Linked DNA regions of Sus scrofa. The protein of the gene in region 2 interacts with the protein of the main gene of each other region in a pairwise test. Links are inferred from orthologs where the notes say so. Each region holds a gene or a part of one and is shown on either strand. Other genes may lie near its edges. The genes, in order: USF1, FOSL1 and CREB5.

What was found.
Region 1: the proteins of FOSL1 (region 2) and USF1 interact in binary tests that used the Homo sapiens proteins (3 or more experiments, as listed by UniProt). The link is inferred for Sus scrofa from reciprocal best matches to the Homo sapiens genes FOSL1 and USF1.
Region 3: the proteins of FOSL1 (region 2) and CREB5 interact in binary tests that used the Homo sapiens proteins (3 or more experiments, as listed by UniProt). The two-hybrid records come from large-scale screens. The link is inferred for Sus scrofa from reciprocal best matches to the Homo sapiens genes FOSL1 and CREB5.

Annotation. Positions count from the first base shown.
Region 1 is NC_010446.5:89,392,819-89,398,630, reverse strand, and holds the start of USF1 (upstream stimulatory factor 1), read right to left. Parts: upstream 3,332-5,812; 5' UTR 2,936-3,331; intron 2,868-2,935; exon of another isoform or gene 2,585-2,867; intron 2,568-2,584; exon of another isoform or gene 2,406-2,567; intron 1,328-2,405; 5' UTR 1,243-1,327; coding exon 1,235-1,242; exon of another isoform or gene 1,220-1,234; intron 872-1,219; coding exon 822-871; intron 665-821; coding exon 549-664; intron 248-548; coding exon 146-247; intron 1-145. Other genes in the region: ARHGAP30 (rho GTPase-activating protein 30), read right to left, coding at 5,202-5,812.
Region 2 is NC_010444.4:6,427,700-6,433,496, reverse strand, and holds the start of FOSL1 (fos-related antigen 1), read right to left. Parts: upstream 3,340-5,797; 5' UTR 3,091-3,339; coding exon 3,001-3,090; intron 1,021-3,000; coding exon 823-1,020; intron 1-822.
Region 3 is NC_010460.4:44,260,629-44,266,425, forward strand, and holds the start of CREB5 (cyclic AMP-responsive element-binding protein 5), read right to left. Parts: upstream 3,849-5,797; 5' UTR 3,769-3,848; intron 3,763-3,768; exon of another isoform or gene 3,282-3,762; 5' UTR 205-3,281; coding exon 202-204; intron 1-201. UniProt on the Homo sapiens protein: Binds to the cAMP response element and activates transcription.

The DNA.
Region 1 (5,812 bases), on a different chromosome or scaffold from region 2:
ACATCCAGAAAGGGAGAGCCTAGAGCTTTGGGTCAAGGCAGCTATAGCTGCCTCACCATCCCGTGCCACACCCCCATCCTATTGGTTCCCTTCTTCGTCTCCATACTCAGAGCTCCAGTCCCCTCCCCAGTCCATACGCCTGTACCTGGGTCATGGATTGAGTGGCAGGGTAGCCACTGATGGCGCCAGTCCCCTCAGTCTGGCCATCCAGCTGCCCCTCAGACACCTGGATCACCCTGTACATCACCTAGAGGCAAGGAGGAAAAGGGAAGAAGGGGAAGGGAGAACAAGAGAGTAAGTGCCAGGGACAGGGTCCCCAAACAAGAATCCTTCAGAAACATACAGTTAGCCATTCCCTTGCCTTTCCCCATATAGAGGTTTCAGCATAACCCCTACCCCACACCAATCTCTACTCCACCCCCCACCTTCCAGACAGTCCACATCTTCACCTCATCCTCCAATCCAGGTCTCCCCATGTGACAGGTTCAGTTACCTCCCCCATTCCCAATCCCAGATAACACCTGCAGCCACCTGGCCCCCTCCCTTACCTGGCCCCCATTTTCAGTTCGGAAGACGTACTTGACGTTGGGGTCAGGGAAAGTGGCAGCTGACTGGATGCTGGCAATTGCCACACTGGTTGGGTCCTCCCCAGTTGCCACCGCACCTGAATTAAAAGGAAAAGTCTGTGAGTTACTGCCTTTTCCTCTCTGTTCCACCTACGTGTCATTTAGAAGAAGGTTACACAAGTGATGGGCCCATGGGGTGGGGGAGAGGCCCCAGTGGGCTCTTGGTCTTAGCTCAGTTCTGTTTCTCCCACTTACCTTCCTGAATCTGCACTGTCCCCTCTTCCGTTTCAGCTGTTTTCTGCTGCCTGTTTGTGAGGGGACAAAAAAATATGGGAAAAAGTGAATGAAAAGCTCACTGGCCCAATAACATATGGCTCCCAAACTCACTGGCACTCCCAGCAGATGCTCGGTTAGGTCAGAATAACAAGAGCTAGTATTTATTTAGTGCTGAGCTAAGCACTTAACAGGCAATATCTTACTTAGTACTAAGAACAGCACTGTGTGGTAGGTAGCACTGCCTGCATTTTATAAACAGGAAACCAGATCACATAGCTAGGTGATGGAGCTGGGACCTAAATCTAGGTCTGCCTGACTCCAGAATCAGTGCTCTTAGCCATTTTGCATTCTCCCAGGCCTCCCAAACCAGACCCTACCTCTTCTTCACTCACCCCTTCATCTCTCTGTGAGGGGGCACATCCGAGGAACTGGTCCTTCTTTGGAAGTCTTCGTATCTCCTGCCTCACAGGCCTGAGTGCTAAGTCCTGGTAGAAATCAGGAAGTCTAGTGAGTCTAAGAAACTGGAAGTCTCCTCTTTCTAGAACTAGGCTCCATGAAGACACATCCAGGAACATAAACCAATCATCTGCAGGGGACAATCAGCTTTCTCCATTCTGATGCTGAAGACTGTCTACAGTGACTGAAAGAGCAATTATATGAATAGTGTTTCTCGCCCCTCCAATTATCACTCCAACTCCTGATGGAGAAGAGATAATTATACTGAAAGACTAAGAAATAACGTATTTCTGGATGGATTATTATTAAAGCTATCATGATCTGCCATGACATGGAGATTAGAAGGACCATGTTTAGACCACAGCTATCAAAAAACACAAGGTCTTGGATGTTGATGCTTCTTCCCACTTCTCAAGCATATATTGTACATCAAGAAATTCCTGTCCTCAAATCTAAGAAAGGGAAACCTGAACCCACTGGAGAACCTCCAGAACCATAAAAGACCAGATTTGGCCCTTGGGCATCATTCTACTGACAGGGCTCTTGTTTTGGGAGTCCAGATTTACCTCATTCATTAAAGACCCTAAAGCCCAAGTGTATCCTCTTCAAGCCCCTTCTATTTTATTCACTAAGCCTTCCTGTAGAACAACACAGTTGCTAAAATGTTGCCATGACAACTCCAAATCAACCAAGCCTCAGCAAGAAGAGGGAAACTCCAGGTTCAGGGTTTGGAAGAAGAGATAATGGAGGAAGAATCCATCTAAGAGGTGCCTGCCTTACAACCCTGACACTGAAGTTCTCTTGCGGCACAGCGGTAAGGATCCAGCAGCAGTTGTCACTGCAGTGGCCTGGGCTGCTGCTGCGGTGCGGGTTCAACTCCCGTCCTGGGAACTTCCACATGCCCGCCCCCACCCCCTGCTAGGCCAAAAGAAAAAAAAAAAAAAAAAAAAAAAAGACCCTGACACCCAGTGGGGGTAAGTGAGGGTGGCGGCGGCAGGAAAAACAAAGGGCTGAGAAGACAGATGCCTCTAGAAAGAAATAGCAATATAGTACAAAGCAATAAGTAATCCCGACAGGAAAGGGGTAAGATTTTTTTAAGTTCTCTACCTGTAAGGGTCTCCCAAACCTTTATCTTCAGCGGTTAAGTCATGGAAAGCCCATATCCAAAGTGTTCACAAAAAAGAAAAAAAAAGGAACTGAAAATGAAACTGTCCGGAGCAAGTAGCGCTGCAATTAAGATCCGGTCCCTAAGGGGGAAGTAGCACCAGTATTTCGGGACCACCTACCTCTCCATCCTCGAACGTACGGAGGAAGTGCCCCTCTGAAGCTTGCTGCGCTGACAGCAGAAGGAAGCAATGAAACAAGAGGGCAGGGCAGAGGAGGCGTCTCTATGGCCCACAGCTGTCAGCCGGGGCAGCCTCTGAGGACGCCCAGCAACGGGGTCAAGATACTTATTCAAATCTTAGTAGGGCATCCAGAAGCATTTCCTGAGCGTTAGGGGTATGCGACAGGAAAGTGGGATAGGATGTCGTAGCGTGCACGCTCAGGCAAAGGGGGGGGGGGGAGAGCCCTGGCTAAGTCTGGACACAAAGGGAAAATAATCAAGTCCCCAAAGAAGGCTGGCGCCTAGACCTTGCCTGAGAATGCGGCGTCTCCCTGCAGGCCCATCAAGCAGTAGGCGCTTAAGAGCTGAGCGCCGGTCGGGCGCGAGCCCAGGAGCCCGCGCCGTGACCCGTCCAGCCCGGCCCGTCACATCCCGAGACCCCGCTGCTCCGCAGAGGCAGGAATTGAGGCCGGGGGTTCAGCGGATCCCGTGGTCTTGGCCCCGCGGCCCGCGGCTGCCATCGAAGGAGAGCGCGCCCGGGGGCGGGGAGTGAGTTCGGCCCACAAAAGGGGGTAGGAGATAAAGATCAGGCACGGCCCCCTCCCTCCAAACAAAAGCTTCCGCCCCAGGAGTTTCTGGACCTAAAAAACGGAAATAAAATCGAAGCTGCTCTCCCCCGCCTGCCCACCCAGTCTCCAGACTCTCGTCGGGTCCTGCACTCACCAGCCAAGGCCGCCGCAGGCTCCTATTTCCCTGGACCGAGTTCTCCCTCTCTCGACTCGGGTAGCTCCTTGGACAGCTGATCATGCGCACTACCGGCTCACAGCCATGTTGGTGAGGGGCGGAAGTGTCTCCTCCCGTCCGCCCAGCCTACACAGCCTCTGTGCTGCCCCACTTCCGTTCGCTCCATCTTGCCGGGGGCTGAAGGATGCGAGCGTGTTGGAGGTGTTGCTGGGGTGGGGAAGAAGCCACGACCGGGGATCCTTGGAGAATGACACTGAAGTCCTAGTCGCTCTAGCAAGGACGGAAGAAAGACGACTAACTTGGTGCTACTATTTTTCTGCTGGACAGGGCCTTTTTAGCTCCAGGAGAAGGGCGTGAGAGAGGCCAGCTTGGATCAAGCGAGGGACATCGGATGGAGGCGCCATCTTTAACAAGGGCTCTTTGGGAGGCCATCTTGGATCAGTATACCTGTTTGTGGTTGCTTATTAGACATTAGGACATAGCTGGTATAAATAGATCTGGATATACTTATTTGTATTAGGGTTAGAAGGCACCTAAAGACCCTCCAGGGCTTCCAGTTTTTGAGAGGCTCACAGTTTCTGGGAGAGGCATCTTGATTCCCATTCTTTTTCAGTCAAGACCTACCCTCAAGTTGCGGGGGCGGTAATGAGACGAGTTCAGAGCCTGGAGCCAGACAAACTCGGGTCTCAGACCTAACTCTGCCACTTCTTGGCTCTGAAACCTTTGGCAAACCTTTTGACTTAATTTAGTTTCCTCATCTGTGAAATGGATTTACCTGTACCAACCTTTTAGAATTATTAAGTGGATTCAGAAAAATCAGGAGCATAGACTATGTGCACATAGAATACCTAGCCTTTACTGGCACATAATGAGCATTATGCAAATATAAGTTTCTCTTCCGCATTTCCTGACCACCATGAACCCAGCTCTAGTTTCCAGCCGCAGGTCTCTATGGCAACAACTGAGGAAGAGCACCCAAACAATAAAAGCAGAAAAGACAACGAATGGTCAAATATTTGAAAATATGATACCTGTCACTCAAGACTTTAATAAGAGTAATGAAACTCCACACTATTTACGTGTAAAAATACAACTTTTATTATGAGACATTGCCCCTTGGGATTCGTGGCCCCCAGCCTATCCAGACAAGTAGTCCCAGGGTGTAAGTGACATCATTCCCCTTCCCTGAAATAGGAAGTTATTCCGAAGGGAAAAGAAGAGGGCAGAGAGATCTGTACAAGACCTCTCTGTCTTGAGATGCAGGGAGGCAGAAAGTAGGGGAGCTAGGAAGGGAGCCTGTCCCTCCAACAAATACTACAGGGTTCAAAAAGTTTCTTGGACATGTTCCTCCTAAGCTGAGGAGCAGGAGGCGTTTAACAGCCCCAAAGTAGAACAAGGATGGGTAACTCTAGAAGTGTTTGTGTATAATAAGCTCCGATATGGCCCTGACCTCTGCCTTTACCCTGGACTTCCATGAAGAGAAGTTCATTGCCTCAGAGGATGGCAGGAACTTGGCTGGAGTTCCCCCGTCATTCTTCACTTTGAGAAACCTGTAAGTTTTTCTACCTACTCTTTGTTCCCTTTGGCCAATGACCCCACTCTCTGGGAACAGGATCTTGGTGACTCTTTCTGGAATCTCCTAAGGGATAAGTGCTTTGTGTCTGAGACAAGCTCAAGTAAACAGAGATAGTGCCTCTCACAGTCAAAGAGAAACTGGAGGGCCAAAACCTATAGGGTTGGGCACTACAGCTACTCAGGCTGCAGAAGAGACAGCTTCAGAAACCACGGAGTTTCAAGACAACTACTGTCCTCTTTGCCCTGTGGTCTGGTCCTAATCACAGTCCCTTCCCTTTCCCAGAGTTAGCCTGTGTTTCAAATGCATATGATCGGCGCTGGGGAGGCGCAAGGGGGTCAGGGAGCTGAGGTTCTTTAGGGGGCAGACTAAGCCGACTCCGGGATCCAGACCCTTCTGTGCCTTCAGCTGGGAGCTCCAGGCAGCTAAGGGGCCTAGAAGAATGGGCAGGGATCGTGCTATAGGGGGAGGTTTTAGGGATGAGGCTGTAGTCCCCAGCCCCAGTACAGGTCTGGGTCCGCCGAACGCTCTGAACTTCAGTCCTCTGGCGGTCCCGGGCCAGGGCAACAGCAGCATCAAAGGAAAGACTGCCCCCATTCCTCCAAGAGGAGCGGGAAGCTCTGGTACCCCAGGCCCTTTCCCCAGGAGTCCCATCAAGCCGGCCAGGCCTCGGGCATGGGTTTGCTGGTGCCACGTGGATCTTGCCACACATTGCAGTGGGCATTCTGGCAAACTGTGGTTTGGGAGGCACCACAGGCACAGAGCGGACCTGTTGGACCTGAACCAGGGTGGAAGCCAGGCGCATGCCCACACCACCAGCCGCGCCAAGGGGACTCGGCTGCCCCTCAGGCTCCATCTCCTCTGACTGGGGTG
Region 2 (5,797 bases):
ATGATCTTAGAATTGGACAGACCGGTCTCATCACTCACTGCTTCTGAGATCTTAGGCAAGTGACCACCTCTCTGTGCCTTCATTTCCTTGGCTGTCAAAAGGGGAAGCCAGCGTCCATTCCCAAGAGGGTTTTTGCGAGGATCAAATGAGACAGGGAAACCGTACCCCAGAGAGTAGCTGAAGGGAACTCTCTCCTTCCCCTTCTCTCCCCAGCTCCACAGACAGCTCAGGCCACCCTCCACTGTCCACACGACTTTCCATCTTATACATTCTCCCTTCCACCTCCAAGCCTTTTTTTTTTTTTTTTTTTTTTGGTGCTTCAGGGCCACACCTGTGGCATATGGTGGTTCCCAGGCTAGGGGGTGAATTTGAACTGCAGCTGCCAGCCTACACCACAGCCACAGCAATGCTGGATCCCTGACCCACTGGGTGAGGCCAGGAATTGAACCCTCATCCTCATGGATACTAGTCGGATTTGTTTCCGCTGCGCCATGACGGGAACTCCTCCACCTCCATTCCTGCTCCTGCCATCCCCTCTACCTGGAAGGGACATGCAAATCTCTCTATGCAAATCCCACCTATATTTCTCAGCTAATATGCCTCCACCTCCAGGAAGTTTTCCCTGATCCACCAGTGACCACTTTGCCTTCTGGGTCTCCCCAGGGGCTCTTATCACTTTCTGCCTTGGCCAGTAGTCACCAGTGGACCTATTCTCCCCACCCTCCTTCTAAGCCTGTGTTCTGCTTTTCAGCAAGAGCTTATCTTTTTCACCTCAGCAGCCCTGCGGGCACAGGAACCTGTGCAAATGCCTCTGCTCCTTACCTGTTCACAGTGCCGGCGACGCACTGCCGGAGTTGGCCCCAGAGCCCGGATGACTCCCGGCCGGGGTTGTGGGGGACTGTACTGGGGGTACGCCAGAGGCCTGGGGTAGCTGCTGGGTCCCAGGAAGTGAGGCTGTACCATCCACTGCAGCTCCTGGCTGCCACTCACAGCGTTGATGCTTGGCACGAGGTGGAACTTCTGAGGGATAAGACACAGAGGACTAGGGATGAGGTCTGTAGGGACGGAGGGGCTTCCAGGGGACAGAAGTCACACTGCTGCCCACCCTCAAGGCAGCTGCTGGTTCTGAGAGACCAGAGAGGGCGCAGCTTGGCAGGCATCCCTGCTTATGAACTGTGTGACTTTAGGCAGGTCACACAACCTCTGGGGCCTCCATTTCTCCCATCGGAGCTAAGAAAGTGTGAATTCCAGGCACTGGCCCAACGACTTTGCTAATCCTGACTCATATAATTTACACAACAGTATCTTCATTTTCAGACAGGAAAACAGTTCTCCATAGACGCACAGCCAGTAAGTGGGAAGCAGGTTTGTGCCCAGGAAGCCAGGCCCTTGCCCACTCTTGCACGCAGCCTGAGTCTCATCAGCATGAAGAGGAGAGTGACAGCTTCTGGCTTCAAGGGTGATTGTGAGAATCAGGTGAGAGGATGTGTGTGAGAGAGCCTGGTAAGTGTGGACAAGGACCACTGCTCTGGGTTCAGGCTATCCCGGCTTTGATCTTAACTCAGCCATTTACTGGCTCTCTGGGCAAATTATTTAATCTCAGTGTGCCTCAGTCTCCTCGTTTTTAATATTGTCACAGGGAGGGATTACAGCATTTCAATGATGCTAAGAAGTACCCTTTAGTGGCCCTGAATAGCAGCTCTCATAGTTCAATTGGCAACTTGAAAACAATTTTTGTGCTACAAAATAATGATGGGTTTTAGTATCAGTGGGGTCTTAGATTCTAGGAGTTAAGATAAATGAGGCGGAAACTGCCCGGCACCAGGCAGAGCTGCACAGTATGTGCTCCAGGTATCACCTGCCACAATTCCCTTCCAGCCAGAAACGTGAGGAATGGGTTGAGATGGGGGCTTACTGTTTGGAAAAAGAACTAGATTCAAGCCCTGGGTGTGGGCGCCCAGTCGTCCGGGAAGCGCCCCACAAGCCCAGACAAGTCAGGACAGCAGTGTCCCCGGCTTAGTGCTGCGGGCCCAATGGCCCAGTGACCCCAGTTTCGGGCCAAGGTACCGCCGGCGGCATCTCCAGCTCCCGAGGTTGTCCAGGCCCGGGCCCCTCCGGGCCAGGAAGGGAGGGGCGCCCCGCGTGAGTCAGCCACCGTGACTCGGCTGCCGTGACTCGGCGGAACGGACGCCGCTCCTTCCCTCCCCTAGCGACACGTGCTCACGGCCCCTCGACAGGAAATGGGCACCTGCAGCCTCCCAGGTTCCCCCCTGCCGGCAGCGGGCGCCGTTTGGTGCCGAGAGCCGGGGGCGCGGGACTTGCCCGCAGCCTGACCCCGCGCACGTCTCCCTGCACCTCACGGTCTCTGCCGGACGCATCCCGTAAAAGGGTCAAGAGCCGGTCTCCCGGAGCCCACCAGGCTCCACTGCGCCGAGATGATGATAAGGATCTGGCGACGGGATGGGGAGGGACAGACAAACGGGCGGGCGCCGGGATGATCACAGACAGACCGCCCAGGATTCCCAGTCTGCCGGGTCCAGCCCGCCGGTAGATCCTCTCTGTGCGAGGGGACATCTCGGCCGCAGCTCAGACTCCGGCTCTTGGAATTTAGTTCTCTTTGATTCTGCCGGGACTAGAACTCATCCCGGACAAGGGGTCCCCTTCGGACGCAGATGGGACAAAGAAATCGGCGGTGGACAGGAGGAAGGAAAGACGGTAACAGAGACGGAGGGACGGAGAGACCGCAGAGAGAGGGGGAAAGAGCGCGAGCCACAGAGGGGACGTTCGCAGATCTTCGTTCCCCCCCCCGCCGCGCGCGTCCCACTGGGCTGTGGGGGGAAAAGAGCCCTTGGACAACCGAGAATGGGCAGGATCCGCTGCCACCCCTCCGAGCCCCACTCCCTCCTGCGGTTCCCGGCCCCGGTCCGGATTGTGCTGGAGCGGCCCGCACCGTCTCAGGCGCTGTCCACCTGGGGACACTGGGCGTAGGGTTCCTCTCACCTGCTGGCCTGTCACCGGGGGCTGCGCCGGGCCGCCGTACGCACCTCCGGCCCCGGAGCTCGGTCCCGGTTCCCCGAAGTCTCGGAACATGCCCTGGGCTGGCTGCTCTGTGGGGTCCGTGTCGGCGGCTCTGGTTCTGACTCACTCGCTCCTCGCGGAGTCTTTTCTTTTTATGAATGAAAAGTCCTCGGGCTGAACCACTTCCACTGGGGCGGGGGGGGGCGTTCCTCAGCGGCGCTGGTCACCTCGGGGCTCCACCTCTGCAATCGCACCGCCTTTTGCCAGTCCGCCCTGAACTTTTCGTCGCCTCCTACAGCCGGCTAGCCGCTTTTTGGTGGGGAAAAAGGGCGGACTTGACGTCCCCCTGCGACAGCGGCAGGTCCGCCTCCTCTGACGTAGCTGCCCATACATGGTGCAATTTCCTCGCCGCGCCCAGGTGGAGCGAAGGATTCCCCCGCCGACGGAGGCACCTGCGCCCCGCCCAGCCCCGCCCCGCCTCGCCTCGCCCTCCACCTGCGCAGACCTAGATCCCGCCACCAGATCCCAGAGCCCTCAGTGTTTGCATCCGTAAAATGGGACGAAATAATCACACAGCGCCCTGGCCGCGCGTGGGAGGTTGGAATGAAAGGGGTCTGGAAACTGTAAAATGGGTTACAAATGTGATAGCATTATTATTATCATCATTATCATTATTTACTGGGTGCTTATTTCATGCCAGGAACCGTGCTACCGCCATCCAAGTCTGTGGTGTGAAGCCCTTTCACTGGCGTTGTCTTAAGGTTCAGGTTTACTAAAAAGTGAATGACAAACCAGGATTACAAAAGTGGTAGATACACACACACACACACACACACACACTTATTTGGCTGTGCCCGTTGGTATGCAGAAGTTGCCAGGCCAGGGATGGCATCCTCACCACAGCAGCGCCCCAAGCCACAGCAGTGACAGTGCCAGATCATCAACCTGTTGAGCCACCAGAGAACTCCAAAAATGGTGTATATTTTAAATGTTTACAATGACATGATAATGCTTTGAACTATCCCCAAATACTATGCAATGTAATTGCCCTACTCGCAGGGTAATTTCAGGAGTCAGGACAAGTTTTCATTCAGAACCTCTGTAAGCAGTGAAAGCCTGCAGTGGGGCACTTGTCCTGTGGTCTGATAAACATCATTTTCTTTAAATACTGTAACTACTCTTCCAGGACTGTGTGGTCACTAGCCTTGTTTGGAGATTACATCAAAAGTCTGTATGAATGTGAGGCCAGGGACAAATATCAACAGCCGAAGACCAGCAGCGCTGCGAGGTAGGTGCCATTATCGTCCCCATTTTACAGATGGGGGAAGTGAGGCTGAGAGATGTGGAAATGAAGGGCCCAAGATCACTAAGCAAGTGGCCGAAGCAGGTTGCCAAATCAGGGCTGTGGGAGCTCCCAGCCCAGGTTTGGGCAAGCGATTTCAAAGCCCTCACAGACAGCTTTTCACATATGTTGGTGCTGAGAGGACCGCCCCAAAGCTGCTTCTCTGTCTCTTCCCATTCTACAGATGAGGAAACTGAGGCCCAGATGAAGTAAGGAGCCGCCAGGGTCACTTGAGAGAGAGCTGGACGCTCCTGCTTTCCACTGGTACCTCCTTTTGATCAGTTCCAGCTTTGACCTCAGGGAAGGAGGATTTCAGGAAGGTGGGATCCTGGGCTGCTGTCCTTGGGGACAGAGGCCAAGGTCTGTAGATGCGTTCAGGACTTAGAGCCAAGAGGCCAGCCTGGCCTGGGGCTTGCAGTCCCAGAGTTACCATTTTCTATCTCTTACCCTGGGCAGGTCACCCTCCTTCTGAGTCCCGGCCCCAGTGGCAATAATTGAGCCTCCCGCTGACCTCATGGGGCTGCTGTGGGATTCAATGAGGTCACACATGTGAAAGTGCTTTGTAAGCTATAAAGTGATGTACGCTCAGAAGGTGGTTGCCAGCCTGGTGCCTCTCCCTTGCCCTTATTCTACTTGATGCTTGTCATTTTCTAAAGAGAAAAGAAACCAATGTTTACCAGAATGAGAATGAGAAATATACAGGTGTGTGGGTGTGGGTGGGTGGGTGTGGGTGGGTGTGTGAGAGAGAGAGGGAGAGGGAGAGATGGAAAGAGAGAGAGATTTTTTTGAGGCAGTGTGACTCATGGAAAGGAACATATGTGCGGGAATCAGACAAGTCTGAGAGCTGGCTTTGAATTCTACCAGGCTGCTCACCAGCAGTGTGACCTAGGTGAGGCCTCAGAGGTCTCAGAGCCTCCTCTGTAAAGTGAAGCCCTAATCATCATTGTATATAACTATATGATGATGACAACATCTCGGGATTGTTGGAGAATACGTATAAAATGCCATGTGCTTCGTGCAGCATATGACAATAGCAAAGATAAATACCTATGTTGATAAAAAGCCTCGGGTGGGAGTGCGGGGGCTCTGATCACTTGCTAAGGCAGTCATACAACACACATGTGCACACACACACACACACACACACTGAGATCTGAACTCCTCGGCTGAGCCCAAGCAGGACAGGTCAGGGTGACAGAGGCAGCCAGGTGGTGGCCTAACACAGGTCAGCCTTGACTGCATCCCTCTGCCGGTCCCAGAAACACCACCCTGCACTGCTCCCCAGGCAGCCTGGGACAGTGACAGATTAGGGGCTCAGATCTCAAGAGTGTGTGTGTGTGTGTGTGTGATTACAGGAGTCTGAAAGTCCCTTCCTGCTCTAACCGTCGGTGGAGCCACAAGGACGTCCTTTCAGAGGCAGCACATTCCAAGCTCCTC
Region 3 (5,797 bases), on a different chromosome or scaffold from region 2:
CACACACACACACACACACACAAAACCTTCCACACAAAAAATGCTATCAAGATCCAGGAAACTGGCAAAAGCCACATTCAAAGTCAACGTAAAATAAGAACTCCATTTGTGAATTTCACCTATGAAAATACAAGATTGTTCTCATTTAGCCAACCACAAAGTTCCCTTTCTGCTTAATAAGCGGAGCAAACATCATCTTACCATTATCTGTAGAATAAAATCAGCAACGTGTTGCTTCCTGCAGTCACCCAATCAAGATTTTTTTTTCTTCCTGTCTTTCTAGCAACGTCTTTTTCACCAGCAAGATTAGGAAGAAAATAAAGCTTTGAGTGTTTGCCTCAGTAGTTCAGATCACAAGACCGTGAAGCTAGCTCTTAGCCCAAAAAAAAAAAAAAAAAAAAAGAACAGGTCTGGTATTTTACAATCACTGCTGCAACCCAGAGGTACCTCCTGGTCTCCCCGTACCTCCTCTCCTCCTGGGTTCTACGTTTCTTTTAGTAATGAGACCAATTTTTCCAGAAGCCTTGAACTCCCTAGATTCAACTGACATGGAAAATGTGACTAAAAACTTGTAGAACTGTCTAGCCTCCAACCCTGCACAGAATCAACTTTGTTGTGAGTGTGGGAGAACACCTCGCAAGCAGCTACTTGCTCCTTTGGACTCCTGCAGGACACAGCACAGCACACCAAATAGCAGTGCGCCATCTAGTTAGCAAGCTGCACTCTCCCTTCTAGAAGGGGGGACACCTTCAAACCCTGGGAGTTAAGGACTTGTCAGGGTCCAGCTGCTTTAAAGGTCCAATTGTTTATTTAAATAAAAAAAAATATCGCTACTGAGATAATCCACATCAAGTGGATATGGGAAAATTTAGGTTATAATGGCACTACAAACTTTTACATCTAACTTTGATTTACAAGATAAAAGCAAGTTTTAAATTAAAAGGGCTTTCTGTTAATAGAGCTTATTATTCTGAAGACGGGGAATGATTTTCTTCGAAAGTTGTCCCTGGGTGCATGCCTATTATCTTTGCTTTCCCCCTTCCACTAATGAGCATTTATCTAAAGAGCCTGTTAATCCTCTGATGTGTGCTTCTGGTCAGAGGTAACAGTTTGAATAAAACCACTAATCACTGATCACTAAATCACTGATCATTAATCACACTCTCCAGTGCTGGTGACCCGGGCCATTTTTCCCTTTGGGTCTATGTATGCATCACAAACAAGAAGTTTAACATTTTAGATGCACATGTATTGTGTGGGGGTTATACTATTTCATCTCTAGATGTGAATAAATAATAAACACTGCCACAAACTTGGGGAAGGAGATGTCAATTAGACCCCAGACAGGAGTTTCACAAATGCCTACTCTACAGCACGGCTTTCACTTTGAAGAAAGCAGATTTGATTATAACAAGACACGCATGCTTCAAGAAATTCCCACATACTCAGAATATAAATTTTCCTTTATTTAACTTTCACCAACTCCAAATCAGAGAGCCCTGAAACTCTCTGCCCTCCTCCATCCAAAATCCTGTTAGGAAATCTTCTATTTGACTCCTGCTGCACCCCCGCACCCCCACCCCTCGGAGATCTTTTTACTTTTATCCCTTAAACGTGTCACAAACAGTATTTTTATTTCAACTGCCAGATACGGAGATTCTGGCTCGATTCAGTGACTTCCATACTTAACTTCCTCTTTAAATAAAGAAACTTAAGGTTAAGATTAAGAAAGTAACACACGCCCCAATTTATTGTATAGTATTCGGGTTCCAAGACTCACATTCCCTAACTTTGGAAATGAAACGTTTAATCTTGAGCCTTTCGGATAAATTTGATTTAGTCAGCACAACCTCGCCATCCCCCTCCGGCTAACTGCTGGAAGGAAAGAGGAAGGCGTTATGTAAAATTAAGTACTTTGTTTGCTGTGGGTGTGTTGTTTTCCTAAGTCAACACAGGGACGTGGTATTATCCACCGTAGCGTCTCTAAACATTTCCTGAGATGCCTTTTCTATCAGGACTAAGTTATTTTTGCCCTAGAGGAGAGGGCTCGCTAGCGCCTTTCTTAAATAATAGAAAAGGGCAGCTTGTGTGCCCGCAGATCAGGTACTGTGCCCCCCTCAGCCGCCAGAAGCTCTCACCACGCTCCAGGGACTGTGACCGCCCCAGGGAAAGCAGTAAAAGGCGGAGGCGGGGCCAGAGTGATAACGGTATGGGCGGGAGAGAGCGGGCGGAGAAGGAGGGGTCCAGAGGGAGAGGGTAATAAAGATGCCCAGGGAATCGGCGATTGTACGAGTATGGTGGGGGCTGGGGATGGAAAGCATAGTTGCTTTGTCAGCACTTCTAAGCCCCTAACCCTTGAGTATCTGAAGCTGTTAATCAAACACTTACGGCCTGCAGAATGACGTAATGGACCTGTCTCCAGCCTTTATTCCTTGACACATGTCAGAGAGGGAGGGAAAAATAAAAATCATACACTCTGCGGGCTCTGACAACGAAATACACAAGAGACCCACTTGAGTTCCCGGCCCTGTACCAGCCTCAAGTGGGGGCGGCACCCGTTCAAGGAAAGTTAGGGAGGAGTGGACAAGATCAAGATCGGGGGCTTCATCTACCAGATTAGCACCCCCCCCAATAAACCTATAGCAAAAGAAAAGCGAAATGCAGCCGACGGGGAAAAAACATCTCTTTGGTTGCTTCGTGCGTCTTGCCCCTCTAAGACCGTCGTGAAAAGTTTTAAGCGATTCCTTGAAGAATCTGCCTGGAGAAGAGGGCTTCGCCGCCGCCGTATCCTGGGAACTGCCACCGCGCCGCCGCGGCAAAAGCGGGAGCTGTCATTTGGGGCAGCAGCGGAGAAGAGGTAATGATGCCAACGAGAACCGGACGGAGGCAAGAGGTGGCTGGAGGAATGAAGGCGAGAAGAGCCTCGCCACTCTCCAGCCCTCCGCGCCCGGAGTGAAAGCAAAGTGCCCTCCAAGAGCGACGTCCCCTCCCAGGGCGCGCGCGCCCACCACCTGGGGCCGGCAGCCCTGCGGGAGAGGTGGCAGCAGCAGGCTCAGCACCGGGGAGGGAGCGAGCCCCCCGCGCGCCCGTCCATCCGCCCCCTAGGTGACCCGGCGTCCTCGCCGCGCCCGCTGGAAGTTTGCAAACTTTTTCCGGGGGTTCCGCCGCATCACCGGGAAGTTGGGGACGCGGGGGGCGGTTCCTGGCTCGCCGTCTCCGCTGCCGCCACCGCTGACGCCGCTTGACCGCACTTCTGGAGGGTTCCGCACCTTGCCAGGTCTCTGGAGGCAAACACACACCCCCGATTCATAACTGTTCCCCGTGTCAGGGAAACACACGCGCGCTCCCACACACGCACGCACGCCGGGGCTGACACGGCGCTCGCTCCACGTTAGCATCCCTCCAGTCGCACGGCGCGGCGGCCACCGAGACGCGCTCCGGGACGGACTCGGCGTGGGGTCTCTGGGGTAGCCTCAGGACACAGCCGAATTCCACGGTCCACCAGCATTGGGGGACGGACTTCCCTCTGGTCCGCCAGAGTGTTTACAAACACAGATCATCCTCCAAAAAAAAAAAAAAAATGCATCGCATCTTCCCCTACTTCTTGCCCTGTGACCTGCCCACTAGACCAAGTAACCTCGCGGCTGCTGCCGAGAACCAGCCCCTGCAAACAAGTACGTTCCCGAGATGGCTCCCGCGGCAAGTGCAACAAAAGTGGCTAAATGCAAAAGCCCCAGAAGTGGCCGAGCCGTATTTTTAGGAACTTACCAAACAAGTGTGGAGAAGGCAAGAGCGGAGCCCGGGTGAAGGGACCACGTTGGACTGAGCAAAGATTACAATACATTCTATTTAGAGTGCATTACATCACCCCCCCGGTGACGTCACGTGGGATTCCTGAACTTCTAAATCATTGCGGCCCGTGGGGGGGTGGGGGGAGGAGGGAGGGGCGGGGCCGGCGCGCCGAGGGGGCGGGCCCCGCCCGCGCACCGCCCCACCAGCCGACTCTGGTGCACCCGCGGGGGAGCGGCGGCGGCAGCGGCGACCGCGCGAGCAACAGCTTGCAGAGGCCAGCGCCGTGTGACACGGCTCCCTGACATTAGTGGTGTGAGTCAGCTTGGAAACAATCGTCACGGTTTCAGACGGGACCACGGAGGAGGCAGGGACCTGGGCTCTCCCGTGAGGAGGGCCTGGTGGCATTTGAAAGGTGTGGGGACGGGGAGTAGGGGAAGGGTGGGAATGGGGAGTAGAGGAAGGGTGGGGAGGGGGTGCAGACGAATGCGGGAAGAGACTTTCTACAAACAGAAATGAGGAACGCTCCCCCTTCCCCCACCAGCAGATGTCCAGCTCCTTTTTGCCTGCGACAGTCGTGACCTCATTACAGTGTTCCCTGCATCCTGGCTTCTCAGAGCATTCACTCGACACCCCTTTTCACGGCCCTCCCCCCCCCCCGCCGCGCCCCATTTCACCTCCAAAGGAATAACTTCTTTATTGTGCACACTCATTTGGAATGTGATGCCCCTGTCCTTCCCAAGACCCCTGCTTCATGAGTGTGAGAAGCTGGAAGGAGCGTTGTTCCTGCAGGCGAAAGGTGAATTACAGCTAGAGCCAAATGATGAGCCTGATTTAGACTCAGCGTCAGATCCGGAAGGGCCCTTGGCGCTCACTTCCAGAGCCTCCTCTGTTACTTGCCCAAGCTCATAAGCTGGCAAGTGGCAGAGCCAGAGCCGGAATGCAGGATTCGGGGCCCTGGTCTGCAGTACGTTCCTGACAGCTCAGTGAGAGAAGGAGCCTGGTGTTTTCAGCATCAGCCAGGTCACCATGGCCATCCCCAGCTTAATTTCCATTCGGATGTTCTCTCTGTGAGTCGGACTCAAAGGGAAGGCAGAGGCTAAATCCAGGAGATGCCAGACATCTCAGAGCACCACGGTCATCCTTGCAGCAGCTCACACTTTGCAAAGCACTGGAACCCACGTGGAACTCCCCTGATTCTCACAACAACCCAGCACAAGGAGAAGTAGGGCAGGTGTTATAATTATCCCCATTTTACAGGGAGCCAAGGCAAATTCCAGAAGCTTAGGGGGCTGGCCTGAAGCCACTGGATAACTCCCGCCCCTGTTTTAAAACTCCAAATCCTAACTGGACTCCTTTCTAGAACCAGGGCGGAGCTTTCCATTCTCATGGGTTATTGATGGTTAGAACCTTTGCTGAGGACGAGTTGGCTGGGAGTCCAAGCTTTGCTTAGGAACAGTTTAGCCCCCATTAACAAACAATAATCATTCCTGACATTTATGTAACATCTGACATTTATATAGCACCTCTCATCCCAATGCATCATAACCATGACTGTGCAGTTTGCCAGAGAATCATGACTGGACTGGCTAGAAACTGTCGTGCTTTGCCTGGATCGTCACATACTTCTGAGCTGGTTTTGCCATACTAAATGGAAGAGCTCTGTGTTTCCTTTCTATTTTTTAAGTGTTTAAACAACTCTCTTTCTTGGTGTTTCTTGAGACCACAGGGACTGCTGACTATTCCTTTCCCACAGCTTGATTCAGAACTCATCACTGCGTTTCCTATTTGTTCTCTTCCACGTGTAGCCCTGAAGGAATTGCAAAAGAAGGGCTCCAGTCCTAACTTGAATCTTAACTAATAAAACTTTTAAAATGACAGCTCAATTACCTGTGTTTACAGAAGAAAGCAACAGCCTCCTGAGGAACAGCCTCCTTGCCCACATTCCTACTCAATTAGCTGGACATCCTTTTCCACCTAAAGCAAGGATCTACCTCCTTCTCCCTTA